Linked DNA regions of Danio rerio. The protein of the gene in region 1 binds, or shares a complex with, the protein of each later gene. Links are inferred from orthologs where the notes say so. Each region holds a gene or a part of one and is shown in the gene's direction. Other genes may lie near its edges. The genes, in order: ppp4r1l, ppp4r2b, smek1 and ppp4r4.

Region 1 (7,292 bases):
TGAAATGATGAGAGCACCATAATAGACTATAGTGCAGTTAAGTGTTAGTCAGCTGGTGACTTCTTTATATTGTCACTACACTAAACTTTCTTAATGCTTTCAAAATGAAAAACACAATATGTACGGAAACAAAGTAAGTTATTTTATTTCATCTTGCCTGAAATGTGGCAGAAAATTACTAATATTTTATGTAGTGCGATCATTTTTACCTGGTGTCCGTGGGGGTCTTATAAGTTGATAAATCAATTTAGAGAAGTTTTTTAACCCTTAAAAATATTCTAAAGTCTTAAAGTCTCAAAGTCTGCTGTTATACACGGTATTAAATTTCTCAGAAATTTGCGGACAATTTAGATTTATATATATATATATATATATATATATATATATATATATATATATATATATATATATATATATATAAAACTATATATTTGCATAATAACTGTTATATTAAACAAATATCATGTATATACACACACAGTTGCAATCAGAATTATTAAACCCCCCCTTAGATTTTTTTCCGCTTTTTTTAATATTTCCAAAATTATGTTTAACAGGTCAAGGAAATTTTCAAAGTATGTCTAATATTTCTTCTTGAGAGTGTTTTATTTCGGCTAGAATAAAAGAAGTTTAAAAAATTTTTAAAAGCTATTTTAAGGTCAAAATGTTTAGCCCCTTTAAGCTATTTTTTTATATATATATTACTACGCATGAATGCATGCATACATACATACATACTTACATACATACATACATATATACACGTGTGTGTGTGTGTGTGTGTGTGTGTGTGTGTGTGTGTGTGTGTGTGTGTGTGTGTGTGTGTGTGTGTGTGTGTGTGTGTGTGTGTGTGTGTGTGTGTGTGTGTGTGTGTGTGTAAAGAAAAGAATTGCCATGTAGTTTTATTTATTTTGTTATGTCTATTTTTTTTTTGTTTATGTAATTTAATTTCACTTCAAAAGAACTAAAGTCTGACATCATGGGGTTTGGATGTGAAACCTCTCATGTAATGTTTAATAGTATCTTATTGTGTATTGTTTATTGGGATGTTTTCTGTCTTTCCATATAGGCGGTAGTGGAGGAGGACTGTATGCCCATGGACCAGTTTGCCCAGCACCTTCTGCCCAGTCTTCTCAGCCTCTCATCAGATCCTGTGCCCAACGTCCGTGTGCTGGTGGCCAAGGCTTTACGGCAGAGCGTGCTGGAAAAACGTAAGACACACACGCACAAAACTTAAGTTGAAGATGGCTAGTTTTTTAACTGTTCACAAACCTTAAACCTCGCTTAAACGTTTCTTAAGGGTTATTTTAGGCTCCAGTTGTATTTATACAGAATTTGATAGAGCAGAGTACAGCTGTTTTAAAAAGCAAACAGCGCCATCTGCGGTTAAAAACTTAAATGAGTATTAATTCAAGAGTGAATAGTGATGCATTTTGAAAAAAATGAACCGATTTCTCAAACATTTTCATCACATTTCTCAAACAAACTATAAAATGTTTTATTAAAGCAACATTAAGTAGCGCTGCACACTGTTGAAAAAAGGTGACATTAAGATTTTTTGTATTGCTGCAATATACATTCACCGGCCACTTTATTATTTATTATCGTTAATGCACATTTCTAATCAGCCAATCACATGGCAGCAACTCAGTGCATTTAAGCATGTAAACATGGTCGAGAGGATCTGCTGCAGGTCAAACCAAGCATCAGAATAGGGGAGAAAGGGGGTTTAAGTGAGTTTAAACATGACATGGTTGTTGGTGTTAGACGGGCTGGTCTGAGTATTTCAGAAACTGCTGATCTACTGGGATTTTCTCACACAACCATCTCTAGAGTTTACAGAGAATGGTCCGAAAAAGAGAAAATATCCAGTGAGCGGCAGTTCTGTGGGTGCAAATCCCTGATGTCAGAGGAGAATAACCAGACTGGTTCGAGCTGATAGGAAGGCAACAGTAACTCAAATAACCACTTGTTACAACCAAGGTATACAGAAGAGCATCTCTAAACACACAACACGTCCAACCTTGAGGCGGATGGGCTTCAGCAGTGAAAGACCACACCGGGTGCCACTCCTGTCAGCTAAGAACAGATAACTTATGCTACAATTCTCACAGGCTCACCGAAATTGGACAATAGAAGATTGGAAAAATGTTCTGTTGTGGCATTTGGATGGTAGGGTTAGAATTGGGCATCAACAACATGAAAGCATGGATCCATCCTGTTTTTTATCAACTATTTCAGGCTGCTGGAGGTGGTGTAATGGTGTTAGGAATATTTTCTTTACAAACTTTGGGCCCATTACTACTAATTGAGCATCACGCCACAGCCTACCTGAGTATTGTTGCTGACCATGTCCATCCCTTTATAAGCAGTGTTCCCATCTTCTGATGGCTACTTCCAGCAGGATAACACACCATGTCATAAAGCGTAAATCATCTCAGAGTGGTTTCTTGAATATGATAATGAGTTCACTGTACTCAAATGGCCTCCACAGTCATCAGATCTTAATCCAATAGAGCACCTTTGGGATGTGGTGGAACGGCAGATTAACATTATGGATGTGCAGCTGTGAAATCTGCAGCAACTGTGTGATGCAATCATGTCAATAAGGACCAAAATCTCTGAGGAAATTTTCTAGTATCTTGTTGAATCTATGCCATGAAGAATTAAGGCAGTTCTGAAGGCAAAAGGGGGTCCATTACTAGTAAGGTGTGCCTAATAAAGTGGCCTGTTAATGTATATCGGGATATGAATCTAATTTTATAAGATCATTTAAGTAACCCATTAAACATCAATTTACATTGATCGAGAGTGTATATGCATAAAATTTAATACAAAAGAGCAAAGATACTAATAAGTAGTTCTTTATGGTTTTCAGACAGTCCGGAGATGCAGAAATTCAAAAGGCGACTGTAAAATAACACTATTCAGTAGTCAACATTTGAAGTAGATTAAAACCTTTTCATCAAAGTTGTCCTAAAACTATTTAACAACACCTATTTCTTATTTTTATAAACCTTTTGATCCACTTCAAATGTTCACTACTGTACTCAATATTTGTTGACTAGTCAGTACTGTAGTATTTATTCATTGTATAACTTAATACAATTATCATCATGATCAGTTGTGGCCCAAATGGTTTAAATTTGCTTTAAATTCTATGTAGTCACAGAAAAAAAAACTTTCGCTCTATTAGGGTTAAACTTTTGATTTGTTCAGCATTCTGCTCGAGTATAATCCCAGATCAACGTTGCCGATCCTGCAACCTGACTATTGCAGACCTCTCATATTAGGATATCGATGCTGAAACGATATATTGTGCAGCCCTAATATTTAGCTTAAATCAGTAGTCATGAGTACTGAGTGCCTTTTCTGTATACGCTCTGATTTCAGCGTATTTCAAGGACCCAGACAGCGCTTATTCGGATGAGCTGGAGAAGACTCTGTCTGTGCTCCGCAATGATGAAGACAGAGACGTGCGCTTTTTCGCCACACTGGATCCCAACAGAAACATTATGGACACCACAGCGTTGATCTAGCACCTTGTACAATCCGCACATGTGAACAAGCACCAGCAGGAACAACACTAAACGGATTCACAGACGAGCGTTTACAAATAGGAACTACTGACCAAGACCTTCGCATACACACACACACACACACACACACACACACTCACACACCGTTTCCTGTCCTAACACAATCCACATAATTAGTATATGCATATATTATGCATTGTTTTGATTTATACACAAAGTGGGCCTCATTCATGAAACTATCTATGGAACTATAAGCAATGAGGTGATGCAGATTTACTTTCCATTGTGGTTTTTATCCAGTTAGATGATTAAATCATGAGATATTGGAATTGAAAATCAAGGAAACTTTTCATGCGTGAGGCCCACCTAAACTCTCACTCACACAACAACCATTTCACCTCTCTGAATGGTGCAAGGTTTCATTTGCACCTTCGTGGCAGCGTAAGTATGTGGATTGTGTCATTTCTCCTCATCAAACCGTTCTGATGCGACCAGCTGCCCCTCCAAAGCAAACTGTACATTTCTTTTTTCTTTCTTGTGGATTTCTTAAAGCTAAAGGACTAAGAAGACAAGCAGACTGACACAGTGAAGTGCTACTAACTCAGGGAGACCTGAATTGTTTTTGTTTTTAAAGCTGCAATGCCGTAAAGTGGTATCGAGCTGAGCCCAAGTGATGATGCCTCAGAAATGTTGCTGCGTTCACCAACCTCCTGTTTACCCAACCCTCAGGATGCACACAGACTGTGGTGGAAAATGAGTTATTGCAGCTCAGGAGCCCCCCCCAAAAAAACTCCCTATCCTTTTTGTAGCTCGTCCTCGTCTTCCCTGATTGGTGGAGAGCGGTTTTATTCCTCGCCGTTTTATTAATAAAAGGGGCCAGTATTTTAGAGGCATGGGAGGTGTTAAACCAGTGCTTTCCAAGCAAACTTTAGAACCACTAGATGAAACTATTTATCAGGCTTTAAAGGAACACTCCACATTTATTTTGGAAATAGGCTCTTTTTACAAGTCATCTTGAGTTAAACCGTTTCCTATTTTTAATTCCATTCAGCCAATCTGGCTCTGGTGAGTGCACTTTTAGCTTAGCTTAGCATAATTCATTGAATCGGATTAGACCATTAGCTATATGCTCAAAAACAATTATACCTTCTGTTCAAAGCTTGACTGTTCTATAGTTAATTCGTGTCCTAAGACTGACAGAGAATCGAAAGTTGATATTTTCCTGGTTGATGGGGTTATAGGAACTATACTCTCATTCTGACCTAATAGTCAAGTGGCTTTGTTGTCGTACTATGGCTGCAGCAGGTGGAATGATATCATGCAGTGTCTGAAAAGAGTCCCCAGCTAGGGAACAGTGCTACATAATATCATTGCACCTGCTGCAGCCATGCGACTACAGCAAAGTTCCTTGATTATTAGGTCAGAATGAGAGTATAGTTCCTATAACCATATCAACCTGGATAATAGCAACTTTTCATTTTCTGTCAGTCTTATTAATGGTGAAACTACAGAACAGTCAAGCTTTAAATAAATCCTTTATCCAAACACTTTGATTTTTGAGCAATGCTAATGGTCTAATCCGATTCAATGATGTATGCTAAGCTAAGCTAAAGTAAAAGTGCTACCACCAGACCCATGTTGTGGCTGAATGGATTCACAAATGGTAAAACTCATCTGTTTTACTCTAAAGTAGAGTGTTGTGTTCCTTTAAGACTACAATGACATTTGATTTGTCAATTGTGAACTCGACCTGCAGATGGCGCTGACAGGTTGTCTAAAGCGAGCACACTGTTTAGTCAGATTTGCACTAGTTAAATCAAAGCACGCCATGATTCCTCTTATTCCAACAGATTTGCTTTCAGATTAATAAGCTATTGCGCTCTTGAAGTCGGACCATCCGTTTTTATTAAGCATGGCGGTGCTGCTCTTGGCATCGATTAACTCTCTATTAGATGCTGATTGGTTATCGGCATGCCTGTTTAACTGTTTAAGTATTTCAATTGCGAGACCGGACTTCCATCAGCATACAAGGGCAAACTTTGCCAGGAGCACTTTACTGTTCATTAAGGGTTTAATGGAAAGAGAATGACAGGTTCTTTTATATAAATAATAATAATAATGGTAATAATAAATCTGTTGGATCGTGAATTTTTAACAAGGCGACTTTCTTGACCAAACTCAAGTGGTGCTCGGATCCAGTGCGTTTATTCTCACAGATGTGTGTGTATATGGATTATGTTTATGGAATGTGTAAATGGAATTGTTTTTAAGAAAATATATTAGGTTTAGTCTAGTTCTGAAATGCAGCCTGTGATCAAATCGCTGATATGATTTTATTGATGATATCGGCAGGATTCAAGGCCAGTTTTTGTTCTTTCCCTGTGGCGAAGATTGATTTGAGGTTGTATGAAGGGGGACGTTGTTTTCCTCGTGTTCTCATGTGTGTTTGTGTGTCTTTTTTGTTTGTCCGATTGTTTTTCTTCCACTTATATGGACCCTGTTAATAGTAGATTTATATTTTGTTAGATTATGTTTTCTCCAATAGGTTGTTTTGTGTGTGTGTGTGTGTGTGTGATTTTCCTGAGGCACTGACATCACTGATGTCAAAAGCAAAAACCACTTCATCTGTCTGCGTATGTACTGATCTACTGGAAATGTTACACGATTAAGAAACAAGCTTTTAATTTCCCCCCCCAATCTTTTATTTTTCTCATTGTATCATGGTTAAAGATTTTATATCCTAACCTTTCAGGTTACAACCTTTGTAATTTTCTGTGCATCTCTTTTAAATACATTTTATGTATTGTTATTTTTAGTATTTGTTAATTAAAATAATATAAATTTGAAATCATTTTTGTGCCTTTTTTTTTTTGCAAACACTACATTTGGTCTATACTAGTCATGTATGCTTTATTGTAATATTTAAATTACAGTCAACATATTGTACACACTACCTGACAAAGTCTTGTTGTCGATCCCAGTTGTAAGAGCAACAAATAATAACTTGACTTCTAGTTGACCATTTGGAAAAATGGCAGAAGGTAGATTTTTCTGATAAATCATCTGTTGAACTGCATCCCAATCATCACAAATACTGCAGAAGACCTACTGGAAGCTGCATGGAGCAAAGATTCTCACAGAAATTGGTCAAGTTTGGTGAGGGAAAAATCGTGGTTTGGGGTTACATTCAGTATGGGGGCATGCGAGAGATCTGCAGAGTGGATGGCAACATCAACAGCCTGAGGTATCAAGACATTTGTGCTGCCATTTGTGTGGCGCAGTGGGTAGCACGATCACCTCATAGCAAGAAGATCGCTGGTTCGAGTCCTGGCTGGGTCAGTTGGCATTTCTGTGTGGAGTTTGCATCTTCTCCCCGTGTTGGTGTGGGTTTCCTTGGGGTGCTCCAGTTTCCCCCACAAGTCCAAAGACATGCGCTATATGTGAATTGGGTAAGCTCAATTGTCCGTGGTGTATGTGTGTAGGTGTTTCCAAGTGATGGGTTGCAGCTGGAAGGGCAAACATATGCTGGATAAGTTGTCGGTTCATTCCGCTTTGGCGATTCCAGATTAATAAAGGGACAAAGCCGAAAATGAATGAATGAATGAACTTTGTCTATGCTGTCTGTCTTGACCAGTACTCCCTGGTAAAAGAGATATTTTATCTCAATAGTACATTCCTGGTTAAATAATAAATACAAATTAAATTAGTTAAATTTGTATTATTTTAATAAAGTTTTATTGGAAAATTATAATT
Region 2 (8,600 bases), about 5.4 Mb from region 1:
TGTTGAGGCGGTCAGGGCGAGTTTAGGATGGAGTTATATGTGGTTATTGTCTGGTTAATGTGAGTTAGCTCATGCTAGCATGGCCTGTGGCTAAATGGCTTTTCCTGTTTTTCGAGGTCTGTTGTGTGTTAAGAGCAGATCAGCAGGTTTCATTCTTCTATTTTTACGACGACTTTAAATTTCTGTCAGAAAATGGAGGGTTGGATTATTAATACGTTAATAAAAAGGCTATTGTTGGAGTTTACTAGGTAGTGGACTGCTATGATGTAGAGTTGAATTAAGTATTCTAACCTTACACATCTGTGTGTTCAGTGTTAACTATAAACTTGTGAATGATTTTAACATTTTCTTTGTGAGTTTGTTCTTTCTTTAACGTGATTTTCTTTTTGTATTTAACGAGAAATCTTTCATTTAAGTTGCACTTTAGCTCTGCTCTTAGCCTAGTTTATTTAAAAAAATATCAATGAATAATTTCTCATTATTATTTATATGTTTTAATAATGATTTTTGTGAGTAGTACAAATTGTTTTGGTGACAAAATAATATAATACTACTATTTATTGTACCTGTATGAGCTTTATGTAAGTGTGTTTGGAATAGGATATTTTCTCATATTTCTAATGAAAGCTCACAATTGTCTGATCAAGGCCTATTTGATGTAAATGAGTGATTTGCCGTTCTTATATTTATTTTTTATATACGTATATTGTTTATTTTTTAGGGAAGTGGAAGTGGTTTTGATCACTAAATGATTATATATATATATATATATATATATATATATATATATATATATATATATATATATATATATATATTGTTCCAAATTGTTGAAAGGTAACGGCTAAAAGATATAACAAAGTTATGGAACTTGTAAATGAGTTTAAGATTACAAACGACATGTTTACATAACCTAGATGTTTATCATAGTTGCACTGCTTGCCTGTTAATAGATCTGTGCTTGGAAAATGATTCTATATTTTCATAAAGGTGTGCATAATATTATAGTTGTTTCTGGACGCTCAGAATAGAAAATTGTGTTTGGTTTTAATGCATGAAGATTATCTAGAAAGAGAGCCGCTTTGTAGTTGTGTGAAAATACGAACAAATAATTGAAAGAACAATAAACGACTATTTCCTCCTTATATTTGTGATGTCTGAACTAGAATGGAGTCAATCAGAACTAAAATATTATTGATAGACTGAAATGCATTAGCAGGATTTGGAGTTGCATGCACTCCAAAATAACTTTTGCTTTTGTCTCCTGCAGATTTTGACAAGAAGGTGAAGAAGGAAGCGTCTACAGTTTTGGACCAGTTTTTGTGCCATATTGCAAAGACTGGGGAAACCCTGTAAGTACATTCAAATATCTATGAGTGATCTAAGTGGGACACAGAAACCCTTTTCACCTTTGTCTTCTAGTGGTTTGTTAAAAATCATAACTGCTTTTTTAGGTAACACCAGAGGGTGGGTTGTTATATGACCTTTTGGTTTTGTTCCAAAACAAACTAAACCTTGTACTTATCGACTAGATCTGACTTGGCCGACCTGCTCTCATTTCATGAACTCTTTAGAATACATGAATGAAAATTAAAAAAATATTAATATCTATCTCTTTGTAATACTTCTGCTGTCAAATATATTTGCTCAATGACACTGAAATGTGTTATTAACAGTCGTGCTGGTTTTATGCCACTCACATCACCCTGGACTCTACTCACATTATGTAACAATTGCAACCAAATCATTTAAAGCCCATATAATAGTAAGTTATATAATAAACAGCTTTGTGACTGACAAATCTAAAAATAAACTGAGCTGTGAATGCTGTATATCTCTTCAGGGTGTCCTGGTCTCAATTTAAAACCTACTTCGTATTTAAACTGGAAAAAGTAATGGAGGATTTCCATGCATCGGCTCCAGAGCAACGAGGGCCTGCCAACCCTAACGTGGAGTCAATTCCCTTTGAAGAAATGAAGGAGCGAATCCTAAAGATTGTCAATGAATACAATGGGTAAGTTTGTTATTCTTGGCGAAACTGTGGGATTGTGTTGTGGCAATTTTAATGTCTATCATTCATTATCTGAAATTGATCGGCACAACATCTAATGTCCCGTTTCCACTGAGTGGTAAAGTACGGTACGGGTCACCTTTATCAGGTTTGGAATCCAACCACCTAAAGGGTAAAAATGGTCCTCTTTTGTTGGGCTTGGTGTACGACAGAAGGTTTGTCTACATCATTTTCGCTCGAGGACATTTCAAAGTAAAGCAGTACAGGTCATTCACATATCATATAAGAAGCACTTCTCACAAAACAGGTGCTTTATACACATAAATACTTGTGTATAAATGTTCAGTACTAACTTGTCTATGAACAAGATTTGATTATAACTGCAGATCAATGATGCAAAATAGTGCGAAATGGCTTACTGAAACATCTGCAATTTATATAAAATAAATAAATAAATGCAACATGTATGAACACATGTAGAAACTTATAGTTTCCGATATGTTACCGATTACAGAAGAACGACATCACATACATTTAGGCTTTATTTGAGTTTAAAAACAACATGCAACATCAGTGCAAACCTCTCATCTGTATCCTTAATCTTCACTTCATGTTCAAGCTCTTGTTAGAAAGTCATTCCATCATTCTGAGTTCATAATAGTCCAAAAGGTGATGCTAATAGTTAAACATGGCAGTTTGTTTATGTTTTAGGTTGCTAAAACAATAATTTTTGTTCCTTTGTTTTGTTGAGCTTCTTTCGTTGTTTTTTTTATGCATCACTCTTGCGTTTGTCTGTTCCTGAAAGAATCGGGTGTCAAAAACATTTCAATAATCATGTGTGATTATCATTCGATCAAGAAGTTTGTTATTCTAAATATAGACACACGGCGAGCTCAAGTGAGGAAGCAAAACCGCTTGTGCTTTAGATGACCTTGTAAACAACTATGGGGCACAGGGTAGTTCTGCTCTTCTTGGCTTTGTGGCTGTTCATCAAGACGACAACAAGGCTTGTTTAAGCTCTGGTCGACCATGGCTTGTTATTATATGTATATAGTATTACAGTCGAATGTCTCTGCTGTGTTTTTAAAAATGGTGGTCCTTTGTTTGTATTCTCCTGCTAATGACTTGTCTCCTGCTAATGACTTAAACCAATAGCATTCAGCTGCGCGTCTTGCTCTGCCTTTTGGTACCCTTTTGTTGTGCTAGGTACCCTTCTGAAAGAGTACCCAAAAAGTGGTACGGTAAGGTTCACTTTTAGGCAGGGTGGGAATTACAGTGAGGTTTGGCGAGGACAATATCACAGGATATTGTAGGTCAGAATACATAAACTATATCACAAATCACTGAAAAATGAAATATTTTGCATTAATAAAATAGATGTCATTTAATTGTCAGTGTATAATTCACACCCTGCTTTTAGGTACCTTTTGACAGTGGAAACGGCCATAAGAGTGTAACGACCCATACCGTAGCATTCAATGGAAACAGGCCATTACTCATCAACCAATGCCCTATGCAAATTTGGGAAGAAAATGACACCATTGTAGTAGTAGTAGTTTGTTCTCATGGACATATGCATCAGTAGCCTGTGTGCATGTCTGAGATGACTGTTGACGCATTGTTTGTTAGTCATTACATTAAATCATTACATGGTGCTATTAAAAACATTTTCCCTGCTTGCGTTTTGAGTGTCATTTTCCACATCCGTTACACGATATGTCATGAATCATTACATTTACATCAAGCAAGTCATTCAGTGTCCACAGCTCATCGGTTTGCTTGAGAAATGAACTTCAGAGCAATGAAGTCTTAATGTCATTTATTCAAGCTATTGTGTACAATATTATATATATATATATATATATATATATATATATATATATATATATATATATATATATATATATATATATATATATATATAAAAAAATGAAATATCTAATTTTAGATGGGTTTTATTTCAAAATAAGTAGCAAATGAGCTTTAATATTATAGTAATACGCACAAACTGTTGTATATTTACAGTATTATCTGAGTCGTTATTGACCCTTTGCTAAGCCACACCTGAAAACCACCATACAACAATCGTGGCTTAGCAACCATAGCTATGTGCAGGAGGTCTGTCAAGCTTTTAAGCGGGGGAAACAAACCAAAGCGTTGTGCATATGGCTTGTGCAAATCTGATACCCGGTATCCTAAACATTTGTTGGATGGGGTTGGGGAATTTTTTTCCCATTTTAAAGCCTAAAATCCAAAGGGAGATAAGCCAGCATGAATCAAGCTGTGTGATGATCCATAAAAGCAGCACAATCCATTCATGTTTTTCCTCCGTTTCAAGCTACGAGTATTGGATTACGTATCAACAGAACAAAACAGACAAACTGAGCTCTTGCGATCAATATACTTCACCCACAGCTGTTTTTCAGTAATTTATAACCCTCATGCCCATGTCAGGGCTACAATTCACTGATGTTTTAGTCTGTCTTTTGGAGATTTAGTCACTGGTGATGACAATATAGCGAGTTAGTGTCTGCTTTTATATTTGGTGTCAGATTAATATTTGCTGGTAGGGAAAAATCTATTTGTTCACTTTTGCCATTTATACGTTGATGTGCATTTCAATCTATTTATTTTTTCCACTTAACTGCAAATTAGAATAGAAACGGTATAAAAGCACACAAACATACTGACAGTTATAGATATTGTACATTGTTATGGGTAAATGATGCTAATATTCGGCACAATCTATCAATTTCCTGTTCTTTCTATGAATGAATTATATGTCCAAGCACTGTCCATGCTAGTTTCCTCATCGGTTAGTAGCGCTATATTTCATTGCACAGCAGTTAGTCTATCAGGCTTTTTGACAAAAAAGCTAAATCACGGTTTAATTAGTTATTATTAGATTATTTTTAAATTTCACCTAACCTGCTGTGCATGAACTAAGCTGTAGAATGCTCAGCACATGAGGCGGCTAGGCTTTAGCTTTAAATTTGATTAAATTATTTACTAATCGGTTGCGTATTATGTCATGAAATATACCCCCGAAATGCATACTGCAGTCCTTTTTTGTCTGCCTTTCTCAGATATCTCACCTGTTTGCCAAAAATGACTAATTAAATCCCTGAGAATGTCTGACATGGGCACATACATATTGTAATAGACGTAACTAAAGAGGGCGGGGCTTAGCGAAGGGTAAATTACATTTTAAATGCCTGTTTTGTATAATGTACAGAAAATGTATTAAAAATTGAGGAACGTAAGAAATCTTTTTTTTAATGCCCTAATGATATGCTTACTGTAACTTGCTTTTGGACAAAAGGAAAGGGCCTGGGTGTTTACCCCAGAGCAAGTGTGCCCTCTCCTGGCTGTTGTTTTATAACAAAAATGATGTTATGGTCCTAATTCTTAGTGGTTTGTTGTGGAGGATGCACCAGTTAATTCAAATGTCTGCTCTATCCAGGATCCCATTTACTATCCAGCGCTTGTGCGAGCTGCTTACTGAACCTAAGAGGAACTACACAGGAACTGAGAAGTTTCTCAGAGGAGTAGAGAAGGTCAGTGTGTGGTGCATTCTTAAAAATAATAAAGGACCTGTATAAAGGAAATAAGGAACTAATAAATGAAAGCAGTGGTCCATTTGCTTTAAATACTTTCACCTTTTTGTCCTGGCCTTATAATGGTGACAGACCCTTTCCTGTATGTTCTGTTTGTATTTGCATTGTATTGTAGTTTGCATCCAAAGTCGGATGTGGAATATTATTACTTGCTATCTCTGATTTCCATAAAGACACACTGTTGGTTTACGGTAATGTGAATTTGTTTTGCAGGTGTGCTATTATCAATATAGAAGATAGCTTATAGTGTTTTGTATGCTTATGTTTGCTTAATGGGCTTTTATTACCAAGTAAAGAGGAAGTTTAGCTCATTGAATGGTTTGATTACTAGTCAAATGCAAGCAGTCCAGCTTTTATTTTTTTTGTCCTTTCCTTATAGCAGTAGAATCGTGAAGGTTAATAATATTGACTTTTCTCTTTTTCTTCAGAATGTGATGGTGGTCAGTTGTATTTATCCAACATCTGAGTAAGTTATTACTGTTCGCCATAAAGATTAAGATCTTCTGTATGACAAATAAACAAAATGTGATCATTTACTCTGAAATGAATGAAGAGCTTTTTTTTGCCCTCTTTGTAGGAAAAATGGCTGCAGTGGTGTCAACAGAATGAATGGAGTCATGTTGTCTGGAAACACATCTGCATTTACAGAGAGGTAAGGAAAGTATATGAAGCCTAAGATAGTCATTTTAAAAAATATATGCTCTATATATTGCACTGTATATTTCAGGAAAGTGAACGGTCCAGGAACACCCAGACCATTAAACAGACAGAAACACTCCATGTCCAGTTCGCTGGCCACAAATGGCCTTCCGGACAGTACTGAAAACAAAGACACAAACACACCCCAGGGACACAGCAAAACGACCAGGTAGACATCATATTTCAGCTCATCTTTCATGCACTTTTCACCTGCATGGACCATGACACACTTTTGAGCTAGACTTTGTTGAAAGGATGAAAGGGATGGTAGGGGAACAGTGGGATGAAGAGGAAGTAAGAAGATAAACGGTGAATAGGTCGGTAGGTTGATGGAGCATCCTACAAAGATGCCCTGAGACTAATAGTGGGGGTACCGTCTCTGTAATGTTTTGGTAGAGTGATTGGACCCCCAAATTCAACCTAGGAGGGAAAAGAGGATCATAGGATTGTTAATGGGAAGTAAGGAAATAGAGGGAAGGAGGGAGGGTGGGTTCAGAAAAACCAGAAGAACAGTGCTAGAGCTGGGTTTTTTAATCTGTGGGTGGCACAAGACATTGAGGCATGCTCTTGAGTAAATAATGATGACAAGTTTTGTGTGTTCATTAGAGTGAATCTGATTAATGTTAGCTCCACATCTAACTGTCAGGCACCTGTAGAGTTTATGCATTAGAGTAAAATCTATACAAATATAATGGACCGGTTGCTTTTTAAAATGAATGACAGTGAATGAAAGTAATACCGATGAACCGTCAAACAAAATCAGCTGGATGCTCTTCTGGACCTTTCACTAACTTTAACGACACTACTGACTACATTTACATGGACATCTGTAATCTAGTTATTTGCCTTAATAGACGGTAATATAATTAAGGTGTTTGCGTAAAGTGCTTCAATGTAAGAGTTTCACTTTAAATCATGAACATTTCAGTCATGCCCCCATGACAAACTGGGGTATTAGACGTAAATAAGGAGTAAGGACTGGTGAGAGTGTTATGGAATTTAACCCTTAGATGCAGAAGCTATAAAATAGATATAGAAAAATAATGTAGTGCATCAAAGGGTTAATGATGCACGCCAAATGGAAAGAAAAAAACCTCAGCATTTTGCGATGTGTGTGTTTGTGTGCAGTCATTTACGGACCGCCACGTGTGTATCTTGTTAAAAATATGGCAAAGTCCTACATGACGGTAATAGTTTGATTGCAGTGTTTACTTCTGTATTTCCACTATTATATGCATACTCCATGTCTTGATTCTATTTCTATTTGGTTCAGTTACGAGTTTAGTCAGATTAAGGTGATCCTAAATCATTGTTTACATGGTAGACTCTTAATCGGAGTATTTTCTTAAGTGTATTAAAATCTATTAAAGTATTGGTGTCCATGTAAACAATGTTCAACTCAACCACACCGTCGGGGCTCTGCGAACTTGGTTTTGGGAAGCAGCATTTTCCGTATGTACGTACATCAAAAGCAAGTATGGTATGGCTCACACTTATTGACAGTGGAAGATGATTGATGGTTAGTCGTGTCAGGAATCCAACCATGTTGTCCTCAGAGAAACAGGCTCAGCCATCACACTGAATCAGTTGAGCTATACATTTATGTTTCAACGTGATTAATGCTACACACTTTAAATGCAGCAAGTAATATGTGAATGGTGTTTGCACGTGAATTATAATTTTGGAGGGGGTGTGCAAGTGAAATTGTCTAAATGTGGGGGGACGTGTGTCCTAAAACGTTGAAAACCTCTAAACTAGAGGTCTAGAGGTTAAGAAGAAGTGAGGTGTGGATCCACTGTTGAACCTTTGTTAACAAGTTAAATCCAGTGAGATAAAGTATTAAAGAGACAAATGAATCATTTCAAATAATCATCTTGTGTGTGTAATGTGCTGATAGTTTAATCAATAAACATGTTTTATCTTTTAACGTGGTAAATAATTAACTCTGCTGACCTTCAGCAAAAATAAATATATAGAAATGGCCATTTTTTTCATTCTTTTTGTTGCAGTGATGCATCTGCGTCAGGCATTGGTGGACCACTTGGCAGCTCTGTAAAAAACAAACACTTGGATGACGAGGAAGATGAGGGAATGGAGGAGGAGGAACACGAAGTTAAAAGACTCAAATTCAGCCAGGATGGCAACGAAGATGAGGAGGACGAAGATGATGTGGACGAGCAGGTTGTGGAGACCCCCAGATCCACACTGAGCAAAAGCCCCTCAGATAAGTCAGAGGACCCTGAATCACCGTCATCCATGTTGCAGGAAGGGAG
Region 3 (8,600 bases), on another chromosome or scaffold:
CCAAATTGAAGCCCAGTCCCTTAAAGGACCTGCACATTTAACAACACGTGTAAACATAACGGTTGTTTGTAATTTAATATGATTATTTGTTTTTATCAACGCGTTGGTTGGCATATGTTGTTGATGTAAGATTGTATTCCATTTGATTGGAATATTCATATTGATTATAACAAGTGCGCGTGAGAGCAGTCCACCGCGCACACACACACACACACACACACACACACACACACACACACACACTGTAGCATGGGTGAGAGGTGAATCCAGTATATTATAGTTTATTGTACATTATACTTTTATAATGGCCATTACTGATCATTAAAACCAATATTCAGCAAAAGACAGTGTGTTTCGTATTTTGAATGAAAATGAAAGGAAGCATTAATTTTATAGAAATATACATTCAACGAACATGACAGTCATAAATATGCAGCTAAACGACGCCTCAACAATTTCTGCTGACTGTTAGTTAATCTCAAAATGAAAATAGGCAGTTCCTTATATCAAGTTTTCATTTTATTGGTAAGAAAGTAAAACAACGTAGCCAGGGTGATGTAAATGAGGTTATAAAGTATGCTGTTCCTTTGAAGATTTACCCGGAGTGTCCTCGGGAGTTTGTTTTCCATATCTAACCTGTGAAGTCTGAACTTGCTGGGAGAGGATGCAAGACTGAACTGTATGTAGGCTACTTAATATTAAGGAAAAAGCTCCCATCAGAGAGGTCTGCTGCTCTGCCCTTGTTTTCAGATGTCTTCGCTTTCCGCCATCCATACTAACACAGAGCAGCAGCATTTTAAAATGAAAACAGCCTCTTCAGCATTTTCAAATAGCTAAGTTTTTGGCGTTGAAAACTCTGGCATAGTTTGGACGGATGGCGCAACTGTAGAAAAACTTGTGTTTTCAAACTAAAACGAATAAGTGTAAACAGGGCCTTAGACTCGTTTTATGCTTGATATGCTGTAAAGTGTGAACACAGTGGTCAAACAGTGGTCACAGTGTCTGTCAATAACATGTTTACATGGGGGGAAAAAGACAAACAATGGAGACGATGAAAAAGGATTTGGAGAGTCAGTTTACAACTGTTTGATGTTATTCATTTGTGATCAAATTGAGAAAAGTGCTTCTCTGCCAGGTTTAAAGTGCTTATTCTATGGAATATTGTGCTTTGTTCCCTCTTTATTATTGCTGAATTTAAAGGGATCTGCTTTTACCAAGTTGTTTTATTTGTAATATTTTTAATCAGATAATTTAGCAATTTTAATTTAACATTACATTTTAAATTTAATACATTTCTATATCTAATTAATTGTTCAGATGTTCTGAACAAAGTTGTTTCTTGTCATATCACCCAGCTTTTTTGTTCTTTGTCAGATTGTAGAGAAACATTCTCTTTTTATTGAATTGTCTGGTTCCTTGCAGAAAACTGAGAAGACCGAGTTTTTGAGCTTCTTCTATAAGCATTGCATGCATGTGCTCTCCGCTCCACTTCTTGCCAACACCACTGAAGAAAAACCCAGCAAAGGTAATAACTTTTACTATCTTTTTGAGCATGTGTGTGTATGTGTACGCTTGTAGGATGCATGCAGGGTGAAAGTTTTGGCAGCTTTGTTTTGAAGCGTTCGTGTGACTATTTGCATACATATTAAAAAATGTAAGCTTTACAGACTTTTCACTGTGTTTGTTTGTCTTGTCAGATGATTTCCAGACATGTCAGCTGCTGGCTCTGATCGTAGAGCTGCTCACTTTCTGCGTGGAGCATCACACGTATCACATAAAGAACTACATCATCAACAAAGACATCCTGCGCAGAGTGCTGGTGCTCACTGCATCACAACATGCTTTCCTAGCCTTATGTGAGTAAATTCTCACTGCACAAATGATACCAATTTTATAATGAGCTAAAGCTTTATGATATCACATTTGAAATGAAAATATTCTGCAGAAAATATTGTATTTCCACTTGCTGTTGTCGGTTGCGAAGATGAGCTTTTGCTTTTTTTGCTTTGCTTAACACTATAGCAGTTTAGATGAACTCTTTCTTAAAGTATTAAAGTTATGAAGTCTAAGCTAAGTAGAACTGTACAAATGACAGGCCTTCATCATAGTTAGTTATGCTACTTTTCATGAGAACGTTTAAATCAATAACCCCAAACTCATTAAAGTTGATCCATTTGTATAATGAAAGGCTCTGTTTAGTGTTACACTGTTATTATAACACATGCCAGGTAATTCTGTTTTCAGGGCCAGCAGCATTATTAACAAGCATTTATTTATTTTGGACAAAGACCAAACACTCGGTGCTTTCAAACTGACAGACATCACTTATACCTTGGCTGCAAAATCTCATTGTACCTTTCCCACTTGTTTGTCATCCAGGTGCTTTGCGTTTCATGAGAAAAATCATTGGCCTGAAGGATGAGTTTTATAACCGATACATTATGAGGAACTTCCTGTTTGAGCCAGTGGTCAAAGCTTTCCTCAATAATGGATCCAGATACAACCTCATAAACTCAGCCATTATAGAGATGTTTGAGTATGTCAGAGTGGTGAGTACATGGTTTCACACATCCCTTCTCTCGATGCTCTTGTACACACTGCTAGGTTGATATGTTGTGTGTGTGTAGGAGGATGTGAAGTCACTGACGGCTCATATCATAGAGAACTACTGGAAGGGCCTGGAGGACGTAGACTATGTTCAGACGTTTAAAGGACTAAAGCTCCGATATGAACAGCAGAGAGAAAGACAGGACAACCCAAAACTTGACAGGTCAGTGGTCATCACATTTAGTAAAATCACCATTCACTCACTGATTATAACTTCACTGAAGTTACTTTAAGTTCAGTGTTTCTCAAACTTATTTCATCAAGTCCCACATCAGAAAGAAATAGTCTCAAGTACTACCATAATAACCAGTATTAAAATACAGTAGTGTGGTAGGCCTAATTAAGCAGCTATGCTCTGCAAAGTTAAAAAACGAGGCATATTAATTTGTATTAATAAGAATGTTTCTTAGTGTCAGCCACATTATACAACATTATAAATAGTTTGAACATTAATACAGTACTGTTTTTATAGGTTAAAAAAAACAAACAAAATGAATGTGTTTGTCAGAAAAGTAAGTGATCGCATGCAAAAAATACACAGCTTGACCAATTCATACATGATTTATTTATTCATACATACAAAATTTCTATGATTTGAGATCTCATCTTTTGTAGACAGAGTAAATGGGACCTTAGTCTCTGTGTGCAGTTAACCCAAACTTCACTAATACATTTTAGTTTTTAAAACACAAGTTTGGCTACAGTTTTTAAGCCCCGAAAACTGAGCTTTTTGAAAACGCTGAAGAGGCCATTTTCATTTTACAACACTGCTGCTCTTTGTCATTGTGGATGGGGGAAACTGAGACATCTTAAACGGAGGCATGGCTGCAGACGTTCGCAATCTGATTAAGGCTTTTTCTTAATATTAAGTGCATAAAGTTCAGTTTTGCATCTTTTCCTTAAGATCCGACTTTGCAAGTTTGATATGGAAAATAAACTCCCAAGGACATGTCGGGTGTACCTTCAAGGAAAAGTGTAGTTTATAACGTCATTCACATCACTCTGGCTACGCTGTTTCACTATCTTAATAATAACAATCAAATGAAAACATGATCTAAGGAACTGCCTACTTTCATTTTGATATTAACAACTTAACAGATGCCAAAAATGTAAGGCATCATGTAGCTACATATTTATGTCATATTCACTGTATGCATATTTATAACAAAACGGAGCCTATAACTTAACTGCCTCCTTTAATGTTCTTCAAAAAATATGAAACATACCCTCTCTTTTGTTGAATATCAGTTTTAATAATCAGTAATATCAATTATAAAAATATAATGTACTATAGGTTTATACAATATAGGCAAGCAATCAGTCAAATGTGCACTATCAGTGTTTGTAGTTACATTAATTGATGTATAATTTGCGCTCCGCCAAAACGCGTTACCAGAGAACAAGTAATAGATTTAAAAGACCAAAGAGTCAATAGATAGTCAAGATGACTTTAATCTATCACATTTAACAACTATAATTAGATAAAATCCAGCAGTAGATCTATGGTGAACTTTGACGTGCGCTGCTCTTACCTGGGTAGGTGGGTGTTTTGACTTCATGATGTAAGAATAGGCATTGAAGTAAATAACATTCATATTGTGACAGTTTTTTTGTAAATAGGAGAAGAACCATGCATCAAGCAAATTACTGCCAAAAAGAGAATAGTTTATTATACAAAAATCAAAGATAAACAGAAAATAGTTATGAGAAAGAAGAATAAAATAGATGACAACAAATAAAAAACATTTAAATTATATACAATTTATAATAACAAAATCCAAAAACAATAAACCCCGCAGGGGAAAAGGACAAAAGTGGCGCTGAAAGAAAAGAAAATAACAAAAACAAAAATCAAACTCAGTATAATCCTTTAACCTAACTGAAATAAAATAATCGAAAGCAAGTCTTCGGCGTTTACAAGCCCTAACTTGCCTACTCTAAACTTAACCAAACCGTAAAATACAAAGCCAGCGCTCACTCTTAAACCTGGTGTGTCTATACACACTTTAACTAAGTGATGTAAGGATGTACGTCATGTGACATCTACCTCTCCAAATCTCCCTGGGTAAAACAAAGAATATCAACAAAATTTCAAACAAACAACAAAAATAATATTAATGAAGATAAACATAATGGCAAGAACAACTTTTGACAAAGCAATATTAAGTACCACAAAAAAACAAAAGAAATAACGAGTGGCAGACTAAAACAAAGAACAAAACAGGAACGCAAAAGCCTCTGTCCGGCGTCCCACTCGTCGTCTTTTTAAAACCCTGGCAACCACTCAGATTGACTGCCGAAGCCACCACATCACTGAAGATAATGATGATTGACTGCTCCTACAGCCAATAACAATTCGAAGGGGGTTGACTCTTTAAAACTGAAAGAGAGAAGAGAGACAGAGAGAACAGGTCCGCGTGTGCGCAAGAGAGAAAAGAGAGAGACATGCATGCAAAATTCCAGGAGCGTAACAGTGGCCTTTAATTGGGCTATATTTTAGCTCCAAGCTTCATGCATGGCGAATTTGCTTGAGTCTATGTTTTGTGTTGAGCAACATTTAAATCACATCCAGATTAATTGGCCTAAATCTGACATAACAAATTAATCGAAAGTCACACTGCTTTACAAAACAAATTTCTATATCAAAATAACAAAAACTTTATATATCAAAACGTGCTTTAAATTTCATAACTATGGACACATTTTAACACATTTGTTATAATTGTTTTACCAATGATGCAGCATGGGGAAATTCCTGACTTTGCAGTAACTGAAATGTCAACACTGCACTGGTTTGCAAAAGTGCTTCACTAGCGCATATCTGCTCCAAGCGCTGTAGCTGTGCACCTCTTTTTCTGGCTCTGCACCAAAGTGGGTTGATTTTTAGCGTATGATGGAGTGATGAACTAAAGTAAACATTATAAGCACACCGATGTGATCGTATGCTTCAGGGAACAGCTGGCACTGATCACATTAGTGTAATTGTTTGCTTCAAAGGGTTAAAAGTGTGTTCATTTTTTTCTTTCTTTTATTATTCAATATTTCTCCACGTACCTCTAGATGAAAGTACCACAGTTTAAGAACCACTGCTTTAGTTTTAATAGGGCTATAAAATCAGTATCTTGTTTTATAGAGGAAAAAATATTTTCATACAAAACATTTTTTTTAAGTGTAAAATGTATTCTTTATGAAATACAAACTTAAAATAATTTGATAAAATAAAAAGTAAACTGTATAGGAAGTTTTCCCCCTCTGTTTTAAGAACAACTGTGAAACTATTGAAGTCAATATTTAAAAGGAGATTGCATCTTTGTCACCTTTTTTCTTTTTTGGAATTTGAGCTGCTATGATTTTATTGGTATCAAATGGTGTCATTCCATTATGTTTTTTTTCCCCTGTCGTCTTGATTATTTTCAGTATGCGGTCGATTCTGAGAAATCACCGTTTTCGCCGGGATGCACGGACACTGGAAGACGAGGAGGAGATGTGGTTTAATACGGATGAGGAAGACTTAGAGGATGGTGAAGCAGTTGTGCCTCCGTCGGACAAGATGAAGAATGACGAGGACCTTATGGATCCCATCAGCAAATTTATGGAGAGGAAAAAATGTATGTTACTGCTACTTACAGGATGGTGTGATGATCAGCTAGTATTGTCCTCCACTTGATTGCAAGATAATATTATGTAATGTGTGTTGTTTGTTTGATTGATAACTTTTTTGTACTTTCTCCTTCACTTTCCACAAGTGAAAGATTCAGAAGAGAAGGAGGTGTTGACAGGGAAAGCAAGTCTCTCAGGACGGCAAAGTCCCAGTTTTAAACTGTCCTTCTCCAGCTCGCCAAAGGCAAGCCTGTCCTCTCCGCCGACTGCATCCCTTCATCCCGGTTCACCTGGTTCTCCTAGCTCTCCCGGGACAGGGGCCCGGAGCTCTCCCCCTTCGGCAGCTGTCACCACTAAGGTATTTAACAAGAATTGAAAGTGCTTTAAAATTCTAGTTGTTTCCTTTTTTACTATTGTAAGACAAAGTATTTGGCAGGGTTCTAACAGGTGCTGGAATTGCTTGAATTTTAATCTACTGTTTTTTTAAAGGTTTAAAAAGTGCTTAGATTTTGGATAAAGTGCTTAAAACTGCTTAAAAAATGTAATTGCTTTTGCAATATTGTATTTTACTAAATATGTAATAATTATTAACTATTTAAATAAAATAAGCCTTTTTGCTTTTGCATAAAATGAAAACTTGCAGAAAATGTGTGTGTACTGCAGGCAAAGTTTAGGAAAAGTTTTAAAATGCACCTGCAAAAGCTTGAAAAGTTCTAAGATTTGACTTTGGAACAGATGCAAGAACCCTGACTTGGGCACCCTATTGGTATAGGCCTTTTAAGACCCCAAAGATAAAAAGAGGTTTGCAGTACATGAGCAGTGATATTCTGTTAGCAAACATCCCGTATTAAATGATTATGTAAATATGTGCTCCACCTTTTCCTCCCAATAAACAAAAATGACAGAACTTAAGAAAGCAGCTGATATTGATGTTCAATTTTGCAGTCTAGTCCACTCACATCATGTGTCTTTAAATGGCACTTTAAACTGTAGATTGAGTTTTAAACCAGTGTTAATGTTAGTGTTGTTTTTTTTTCTACTGTAAATCGGCTATTCAATGTTTGTGAACAGGAAATGAACCAGAGAAAAATTCACAGAATACTGAGAGTCTCCTACCTGCTATACAATCTCCACTGAGCATTGGTAGTTGGTAGGTGTCCCAAAAAGGATATATTTTCAAAACATTTTCTTTGGAAAACTTTTTTTTTTTTTGAGTTTCAATTGAACTCTGTTTAGGCCTAATTTTGTCTATAATGATGCCACATCAGCTTATTCCTTGAATTGGCTTGAAGCATATTATCCAATACTTAATAAAATAATAATCCAGTAAAAGTATCAATTACACTCTTTCAATTTCACTTAAGTGAAAGTACAAAAGCATGCAGTGAAAAACCCTTTTTGGATGAGTTCTTTTCCCAAGAGAGTTACGATATTGATAATGCCAGCTCACACGTTTAAAACAACAAGTATGACATTATCATAGGCTGTAAATAATGTACACCCATATTGTGACCATATCACAATCTCAATTAGTTTGCAGACAACTAACAGTAGTTGCTTAAAGTTATTTCAATAATAAATCATCAATTTGAATTAGTAAATGTTGCCTCAAGAACATACACAGTCAGATCAGTCCCGTTCATCAAAGACTCTTTAAGTGTGATTTGGAAACCATTTCGAGATGTTAACTGAGAAGAATCAGCTGATTTGTCAGTGGGTGAGCATTTCTCCAGTCTCCAGTTGTATGCTCATTTATTTACCCCACAATACATCCCTAGAATAAAAAGCTCCATGTTTAGAATGGTGCTCAATATTAATGACTTCTGCTCTGATGCTGTCACAGTAGATGCCTATTGAACTTTTTATTTATGTCTAGTAATATTCAGATTTGTATCATATGGCTCATAACAAAAAATAGTCTCAACTACCGTATCAGATGCTTGATGCTTAGTTACTTCTCATTAAGGGGTGCATAATATATCGTTTCAGCATTTTTATCACAATGTGTGAATCTGCAGTAGTCAGTTCAGAACGTTTAATTTGTGGGGTCATCGCAAAGTTTAACCACATAACATTAGTGAAAGATTTTCAGTTGGATGCGTTTGTAAGACTGATGCCCGTGTAAGATTTAAGCAAACTTAAACTAAGAGGTTATAAAGGTATATAAACATAAATGAATGAATTATACAATGAAGACTATACAGTGTTGTTTTATATTTTATTATTAAATTTCTGTACCTCAACACTCTCTTCATTTCACAGAAACCCATCAAGTTCAATTGTATTGTATTTTATGCAGATCCTCCTCTACAAAATTATCCCAATTACTGTAAAATGATGAATTTGTTCCAAATAGTTTTGTCATCTTGTGAAATTGCATTCATATCGCACCA
Region 4 (8,600 bases), on another chromosome or scaffold:
TGTCAAAGAGGTTGGTTTCTTTTCTGGACTTTGAGAATCTTGGAACCATTAGTGTATTTGGAGGATCAGAGAATTTGTGTGCTGAAGATGAACAAAGCTATTAGGGGTTTGGAAAGACATGAGTAATTAAGACCAGAATTTTCATTTTGGGTGAAGTAATAGTTTAAACGTCAACAATAACTAGTAAAAAAAACTATGTTCTCATAACAGCCCTGATTCTTGCACAAATTCATAGCATTCTGTGTAGTTTTACAGCTATCAGAGTAGAAAGAAAAGCTGTCGTCCTCCATGTAATATAATGTCCTGTTGTCTCTTTTCACATTCATGTGTAAGTTCCATTAGATTGAAAAGATCAGAAAAGTCTGTACATACTCATTCAACCCACTTATTCAACCTCCCTTTAAAGAAATAGGCCAAGTGGGTGAAAGTAGACAAAACAGATGGATTGAGCAACAGGTGTAAAATGGCATGCATTGTTTGTTATTGCCAAAATGCTTCTGCTAACTTAATATTGGTACCAATAACGTTTTGACTTTATTTCAGTTTACTTGGATTAAGAGGTACATATGAGCTGAAATAAGAGAGCGCATTTGAATCTGGGACTGGAAAAAACTTTGACAAAACCTGTTTTAGACTTTTAGTCCTAATAATAATACAAAAAGATTTCTAAAATGAATGATTTTTTTAATAAACAGCTCATCATAATTTATACAAATATGTCATTAATATTCCTATTGAACTATTTATAATTCTTATTTTGAAGTTGTTTTTTTCTTATACAAAATAAAAGTAACTTTTGATAGCTATAACTGTAATCTTCTAAGTGTAAATAAAATTGAAATGTTTGAAATCAGTATTCAGTTTGATATATTAAAGAAAATATAATATAGTATGTTTTAATTAAATTGAAAATATATTTTTATGTCAATATATTTTTAAATGCGTTACTGTGATGGCATACTTTAGCTACATTTTTAGCAACTGTTGCTTCAGACTTTAGTGACTCATGAACGCACAGGAATCATTCTAATATGTTGAATTCATGCTCAAAATAAAATATTATCAGTGTTTAAGACAGTGGTGCTCAACCCTGTTCCTGGAGATCTACCTTCCGGCACAGTTCAGCTCCAACCCTGATCAAACACACCTGAACCAATTAATCAGGACCTGAACAGCACTTGATAATTACAGGCAGGTGTTTGATATGGGTTGCAACTGTAATCTGCCGGACGGTAGATCTCCAGGAACAGGGTTGGTCACCCCTGTTTTAAGAGATAGTTCTGCGGTGTAATGTTTTCGTAGAAAGCAAGTTAGAATTTTCCAGGACTCCTTAGTGAATAGAAAGCTCAAAAGACTATTCAAATATTTGAAATAAAATTTTGATTTTAATGTAAAAGTCTTTTCTGTTACAGTACATTTAATAAGTTGAATGCAGGCATCTTGCTGAATATGAGTGTTTATATAGTAGCTTTTATATCACTTTCACCTTTACAGCAGGTGAATATACAAGACTTGGTGCCAGCTTTGGTAGCAGCAGAGCAGAAAGCGGCTTCTTCCCTTCACTGGCGAGTTCATGAAAAGCTGCTTCAGTGCTACTCGTGTCTGCCTCGTGTCATTTCTGGAGACCAAATCTACTTCCGCTTCTTTCAGAGGATGTTCAGCATCATCACCACTAATGTAAACATCTTACACACACAGACCTTTCAGTACAGTCTCATCCGTTATACAGTATGTTTGATCTGTCTTTTCTGTTTACTCTGTTGTAGAATGTTCTGCCAGTCCAGCGGGAAGCTGTCAGGACGTTATGTGTGTTCCTGCGCTATAACCGCAAACAAGAACAGCGGCAAGAGATAATGAGTAAAATAAAACAAGGTAAAAAGAAAGAAAAATACTTATTTGACACCTTGTGCTTGAAATTTTGTCTTTTTATGTGGTCGGGACTGTGTTTTTTTCTCCTGTATTTTAGATCTTGCTCAAGGTAGAAGCTACTGGAACAGGCTTCGCTTTTTGGACCTGTGTGATATCACAATAGACCTCTTCTCCAAATCATATTTTTGCAAACATTTTCTTATTCCAGCACTTGAGTTAGTTAGTGATCCTGTGGCCAATGTCAGGTGAGCAAGTTTTCCACATTATTGCTTATTTTTTGACTTTGCTATTCATTTGAATTACATAACTTAATGCTTTAAAGTATTTCTTCAAATTGTTGTTGTTTTTTTAACAAAAACAAAACATTTTGGCAGGTACAAGCTCTGTTATATGTTGCCCAAATTGAGATCCACCATCAGACCAACAGAAAAGCATCTGCTTCAGCAGCTGGAGTTCTGTGTTCGGAAATTGTTGTGCCGTGAAAAGGATAAAGATGTAGTGGTGACATTGAGAAAGGTGAGGAAATCATTATTAAGGTGCATTAGCATTGTATTGGCAAATGTTTTGGGCCAGCATGATAATAAATAATTATAAATAAGTTTAATATTACGGTTTGGCTTAGTGTTATCGCATTTCACAGGCTGCAGTTTAATTTAATATAAATGCGCCGGGTTTCAGTGCAACATGTTTGCACACCAGACATCAGATTGCATGGATTTCTTATGAAGTGAGATTTTATTTTATTGGATTTTTTTTATTTTATTTTATTGGATTTTATTCACAAACACTCTTTTGTAAAATGTATTCTGTACAGTATACTGAAGGTGATTCAATTTATTACAAGTAGGGATGCTCCGATCAGGATTTTTGCAGCCGATTCTGAGTACTGATTCCTTGTCATGGTGATTGGCCGATACCAAGTACCGATTCTAATGCTTCAAGCTTTATAATGCCTAAAGCACATTTTACCTCCAAGTATGATACCTAAATGAAGATCTTGCCTTACGAAAGAGAATAAATTCAAGATGTTGCATATATTTCCTTAAATGTCTCTTAAAAGCATTTAGTGTGTACCTGTCATGGTCAGAAGCAGCTTTTCAGAAAATAATTAAGAAAGCAGATACAAAAAAATTGGTAAGAAAAATGACTAACTAAGCAATATGGAAACATTGCAAATGATGGAAGAATGTCTCATTTTTATTTCCCTAATATTTCTAGTCAGGTTTTAATGAATTTGTAATATTGTAGAAAACACTTCTTATAAGTTCTTGTAAACTCGTAAACAAACTATTGCGATCGGTTCATGAGATCGGCCAGATTAGCGAGTACCAATCGAGACATGAAATGTAATTATCAGCCAATACCGATCGCTGGCCGATTGATCGGAGCATCCCTAATTACAAGTAATGATATTGCAAAAACTGTTTTATTATTTTCCCTCAGACAGTTCTGGAGCTGGACAAAATGGACATTACAGAGCCGGTATGAAGGATCTGTGACTTTTTATATTTGGTTATGATGACAGTTTCTGTACACCATAGTTATTTCTTTTGAGCACTGTGAGCGAACTTTGCCCATATTTATATTTGTAGTATCATAAAAGGCATGAAAGAGAGCTCTTGGATCAGAAAAAGGAGAAGGAGGAGACCCTTTTACTTGAAATGGTGAGAGAGATTTTTAATTACTGAAATTGAAGGCAAATTATTATTATGGTTATGGTTTTTTCCACCAAAACCATTTTGAAAAAGCAAATAGGCTTTTCCTTATGTGTAAATGTGGGCGGTCACATGCTATTTTCAGTACCAACAAGACAAAAATGAGATTTTTAAAGAGATAGTTCACCCAAAAATGAAAATTTCCTCACCATTTACTCAGACTTAAATGGTTCTAAACTTCTATTAATTTCTTTCTTCTTTTGAAGACATAGGAGAAAAACAGCCAATGACATCCATAGTCGGAACAAAATATACTATGGTAGTCAGTGGCTGCTTTTCCCCAACATTCTTTAGTTATACTTCTTTTGTGTTCAACAGAAGAAAGAAACTCGGTTATGCTTTATTTTCAGATGTCTTTGTTACAGAGTAACTATTAATTCAGCGACTAATAAATAATATTAATTCATTACAAGTACTTTTATATGTACTTACTATATGGTTGGGGTTAGAATGTGGATTAGGTTTAGCTGAATGCAATCAACCATAATTACCTGTAATTACTATTATTGCTTGCCGGCTTAGGTATGCAACAAATGAAGAGCACCAAACTAAATAGAATGAAAATGCAAAAATATATTTATTTAAAGGTTAAATATATGTAAATTAAATGTCTAACATAACATATATAGTTCAAAACAACAGATAACATAGGATCAAATTCCAAAATAAAATAAAAATAATATATAAGCGGTAGGTAAGCAAAAAGAAGTTGAATGGAAACGATCCTCCGAAGCAGTCTGTGAAACACATCTTTGCAGCTTCTTAAATAAGCAAAATCTAATCACAAACCTGTAACACTATAGTAAGTACATACTGTAGAACTTGTGTAGCACGGACATCTAAAAATAGTGTTACCAGAAACTCAAATAGGTTTGGAACAAGTGGAGAATGAGTGAATGATGGCAGAATTTATTTTTTGTCTGTGAACTATACTTGTATATGTTCTAGATCCCTACATGTGAACTATTTGTTGCTACTGTATTTGTGCTGCTGTTAACACAGGAACTGTTGGAAAGACAGCAGAGTGAAGCAAAACTAGCTGGAGATAAACAGTCTGAGAAGAAACGTGAGTGATGTTTATTTATGCACCACTTCATTAAGAAGTTTACTTTGTGCTTTTTGTTGTAGCTTATTGTAAGTTTCCTAAATGTACTGTACAGCATATGTGTGTTTATGTTGTGGTTTATTATATTGTTGTGTTCCAGAACGAGAGAGCAAATCAGGCCTATCTGGTAGTAAAGGAATGTCAGGAACATTATCAGGAGCATCATCGTCCTCTTCTTCTGGTTAGAATCATTGTGTACATTAATTATTATTAATTTTTTGTCAATTAACAATTTGTCAATTTTAGATTTTTCTTTTTTTTTTTGGAATAATTTTAATCAGATAAACATTTTATTTATTGTGATAGTCCCCACAAAAATGAATATTTACTTACTGTTTACTTACACTAAAGTGGTTTTAAATCTTTGTGAGTTTTCTTTTTTCTGTTGAACACAAAACAAGACATTTTGAAAAATGTTAGAAACATGTAATCATTGACTTTGTAAGTAGGCTTCAGGTTTCCAACATTTTTCAAAATATCTTCTTTTGTGTTCAACAGAAAAAAGAAACTCAAACAGATTTGCGAAGGGTCAGAAAATGATGACACAATTTTCAGTTTTGGGTGAACAATCCTTTTAATGATCAAGTAAAGGAACATGATGGAACATGCTTGAATTATTATAACATTTTATTATATTTTCGGAAATGCTGAATATTCCATTTTGAAAACTAACAAAATAGTAAAACATTAAAAATATTTTTTACAATAAAAATATTTCACAGAAATACTGTTTAACTTTTGTGAACAAAAAAATCTGTAGCGTGTAGCAGAAAGCTACTTATGTAATCGTTTTGTTATTATTGTTTTTGTTATTAGTTTGATAAATTTCCAGTGACATAAAAATGTTAAACATTTTCTTAAAGTTTTGTAATGGTCCGGTGCTTATCATCTCCACATTGCTGCTGTTTCTAGGGAAGGAGATGCGGAGGGCTAAACTAGCTCGCAGTCGTTCTCTCAGTGGCCATCCCACAACACCCAAGATGACAAACTCAGACAAAACCTTGTACGTAACAAAATCCCCTAAGCTTTCTTATGTTGCTACTGCAGTTGGTTCTTTGACCCATGACCTGTGACCCATCATCGCTAGTACTTCAACATTTACACTCACAATTTTTTCTTTAGAAAACTGAAAGATTCAGGAAGTTGCCCTGGATCAGGAAAGAGTCCTATGCTACCTTTAAATGGTAACTAATGAGATTGTTCTTCGTGAATTATATTGTTATATTATATTGTTGTTTACATGTACTTATGTACTTGTTTGCTTTCCAGATGATAACCTGCGACCCCACCACTTTAATGTTGCTTCTTCAATCTCCTCCACCCCATCGTCCTCGTCCATGCCTGTTCTGATCCGCAGCAACACCAGCAGCTCTGTGGATCACCGGAGTAACGGGAATAAAGACACACAGTCTAGGAAACTTTCTGTGTATGTTTCTCAAATTGACTGATAAACTCCCATTTTTAATCAGCCACTCCCCACCTAGCAAAATATCTCTGGCCCAGCTCTGACCCACACAATCAGCTTTTACTTGGCCCACATGCTGCAGTAAATTACGGTACATGACTGGACCAAGTCTGGCTTCCAGACAAGGGCCAAACATGGACCATATCTCAGCCAAATTAACAATCCCTAACCCTGAACTAGGCCAGATATGTTGGTGTGTCACGACTGCAATGAAATTGATAAATCCATAAAGCATTGCACTTTAGACATGCTATGGGCATGCTTTTTCTTGCAGAGACCTGATTGTTTTTTTGTTTTTTTTTAAAATAAGAATTTAAATGTGGGTCAAGATAGGCCAAACTCACATGGCCCACATATCAAATTATAACATCTGGGCCAAATACTACATTTGACATCTGGCCCAAATATTGTGTGCCGCCTTAAAGACGGTGCCTGACTGCTGTCAAACCTGGGCCATGTTTGGTCTGAATGCCTGCTGTGCCAGCTTTATGCTAAATCTCAGCCAGAATTCTTTGCTTCCTGGGTTATTATCTAAGTGCCGTATTCGGCTGTATACAACTCATTATTTCATTATTTAAAACATGCTGCACCTCACTCCAAGGATGCAAAGCATTTGCAAAATCTGCACACATTGTCAAATGAGTGTATCTATACAACAAGTACATCATTACTTCATATTTTAAACAATATTATATTTCTTATCTGAATCAAGTCATTATGCCTATAGTAAAAACAAAGGAACAGCTTATATAGCCTTGCAGAATTCCAATTGTAGTGTTCATAGATGTCATATAGATATTGAAACTGAGGGCAAACATGCTCCCTTTTGAGCCTACTGGATTATTAAGGCAACTGCCACAAGATATAATGTACATTTTTACATTTGACAGTTAAGTTCTATGGCTATTTAAGCAATCACGTGAATATACTGTGAATTTATTAATTACATACTATTGAGAGAAAACAAGAGGCATTTTACAGGTCAAAGTACTTTATTTATTATTATTATTTATTCATTTATCACAATGATTTTATTCTGTTCAGACACGTTTATATATATATATATATATATATATATATATATATATATATATATATATTTATATTATTTCATTGTGCGCATGCAGAGCTGAATCAAAACCTTACTTACACATTTTTTTGCATACAATTTTTTTCAACTTCCAGTGGCCCAAATATTTGAAGGTGTTCCTTTTAAATAAATTTATTTAGGCTTTTATCATTCTAGTTTAAGGTGAAAATTATAAAAAAATTTCAGTTTGTTTTACATACATTTCTATCTGTTCTGAATAATAATGAACATTTAAAGGATTTGGTGTTGGTTTAAGGGATCTATAATACATTTTTATAATTGTTTTGTACAATGTTTTGATTTATTTTCATTTCTTTTTTCTTAGCAATGCAATTTTGTTTTATTATGAACGGGTGTGATTCAGCAAGAGTGATCTTATGTTGTCTTTCTGTTTGTGTTCGACAGACAGCGGAAGTCGAATTCATTTGGAATGCAGTCTGGGAGAGAGTGATTACCACTTTGCCTTCTGACTTAAAGCCCCTTTTACAAGACTTTTCATTCTGCAGCAGCAGCACAGCAGTGTCCCTCCATTTTGATGTGTCCATTCTCTCTTCTATCCCAGAAAAGGCTTAAGATGTGCTGGGGCATCAATTAAGGTCTGCATTGATCCATCTCTGCCTTATTTCATACAAAAAAAACAATCAAAATCTCACACCATACATCATAAAATGAAACCGAGAGTTGAGGAGTAATTGAATGTATTTAATTTACTGCCTCATTATTTTGTTTCTTGTATTATAGCATGCTTTGCAAAATTCTCTGTTTTATATTTTTGAAGTGGCTAAGAGAAAAAGAAGCACTATGTATTTTTATGATTGAAGAGTTTTGGAACTCTCCATCCCATCCCACCAATGAGATTGTGCCTGGTGCCACCCAGCACCTGATTGATTAACGCCAACATCTTAGTACCCAATGAATAAAATTCATGTTGAATATGACGTGCTTTAATGACTTGCTTTTGAACTGGCTCTTTAAATACTGACAGCGCACATAGAAAAACAAGTTACTAGTTACACTTGACATTAAGTACACTATTCATTTAATTTCCTAGCAAACATTGGATTGTGACTATATTATGCTGCTACTTAATGTTAATTAAATCACAGTATAATGTTAATAACAGTTAAAAGGTTGATACTGATATTAATTGTTTTAAAACACTATTAATATTTGGTTATTCACGCAAAACAAATGGATGTAGGAGTGAGAACACCTGTATACACCATTGGTAGTTTCTCTAATTAGTTCTTAGTTGGGTCGACCACACGTCCAATGTAGAGGATGCATTTTGTGACCTCATGGTAGACAACAAAAATGAAGGGTCGGTTGAAAGTGAGCCTGGGAGGAAGAGGATTC

Evidence for each region.
Region 2: ppp4r1l (region 1) and ppp4r2b share a complex: the UniProt entries of both Homo sapiens proteins name them as parts of the PP4 complex. The link is inferred for Danio rerio from reciprocal best matches to the Homo sapiens genes PPP4R1 and PPP4R2.
Region 3: ppp4r1l (region 1) and smek1 share a complex: the UniProt entries of both Homo sapiens proteins name them as parts of the PP4 complex. The link is inferred for Danio rerio from reciprocal best matches to the Homo sapiens genes PPP4R1 and PPP4R3A.
Region 4: ppp4r1l (region 1) and ppp4r4 share a complex: the UniProt entries of both Homo sapiens proteins name them as parts of the PP4 complex. The link is inferred for Danio rerio from reciprocal best matches to the Homo sapiens genes PPP4R1 and PPP4R4.

Annotation. Positions count from the first base shown.
Region 1 is NC_133181.1:52,153,118-52,160,409, reverse strand, and holds the end of ppp4r1l (serine/threonine-protein phosphatase 4 regulatory subunit 1), read left to right. Parts: intron 1-1,069; coding exon 1,070-1,211; intron 1,212-3,393; coding exon 3,394-3,539; 3' UTR 3,540-6,387; downstream 6,388-7,292. UniProt on the Homo sapiens protein: Regulatory subunit of serine/threonine-protein phosphatase 4. May play a role in regulation of cell division in renal glomeruli. The PPP4C-PPP4R1 PP4 complex may play a role in dephosphorylation and regulation of HDAC3.
Region 2 is NC_133181.1:46,720,205-46,728,804, forward strand, and holds part of ppp4r2b (serine/threonine-protein phosphatase 4 regulatory subunit 2-B), read left to right. Parts: intron 1-1,270; coding exon 1,271-1,352; intron 1,353-1,843; coding exon 1,844-2,014; intron 2,015-5,474; coding exon 5,475-5,568; intron 5,569-6,056; coding exon 6,057-6,094; intron 6,095-6,205; coding exon 6,206-6,280; intron 6,281-6,355; coding exon 6,356-6,496; intron 6,497-8,336; coding exon 8,337-8,600. UniProt on the Homo sapiens protein: Regulatory subunit of serine/threonine-protein phosphatase 4 (PP4). May regulate the activity of PPP4C at centrosomal microtubule organizing centers.
Region 3 is NC_133195.1:36,336,038-36,344,637, reverse strand, and holds part of smek1 (serine/threonine-protein phosphatase 4 regulatory subunit 3), read left to right. Parts: exon of another isoform or gene 1-460; intron 461-1,422; coding exon 1,423-1,525; intron 1,526-1,697; coding exon 1,698-1,856; intron 1,857-2,379; coding exon 2,380-2,549; intron 2,550-2,627; coding exon 2,628-2,770; intron 2,771-3,666; exon of another isoform or gene 3,667-4,427; intron 4,428-6,024; coding exon 6,025-6,215; intron 6,216-6,353; coding exon 6,354-6,565; intron 6,566-8,600. UniProt on the Homo sapiens protein: Regulatory subunit of serine/threonine-protein phosphatase 4. May regulate the activity of PPP4C at centrosomal microtubule organizing centers.
Region 4 is NC_133195.1:30,092,347-30,100,946, forward strand, and holds the end of ppp4r4 (serine/threonine-protein phosphatase 4 regulatory subunit 4), read left to right. Parts: intron 1-1,494; coding exon 1,495-1,677; intron 1,678-1,766; coding exon 1,767-1,872; intron 1,873-1,966; coding exon 1,967-2,114; intron 2,115-2,243; coding exon 2,244-2,385; intron 2,386-3,312; coding exon 3,313-3,351; intron 3,352-3,461; coding exon 3,462-3,533; intron 3,534-4,586; coding exon 4,587-4,650; intron 4,651-4,789; coding exon 4,790-4,870; intron 4,871-5,601; coding exon 5,602-5,692; intron 5,693-5,811; coding exon 5,812-5,873; intron 5,874-5,958; coding exon 5,959-6,115; intron 6,116-7,514; exon of another isoform or gene 7,515-7,649; coding exon 7,650-7,695; 3' UTR 7,696-8,182; downstream 8,183-8,600. UniProt on the Homo sapiens protein: Putative regulatory subunit of serine/threonine-protein phosphatase 4.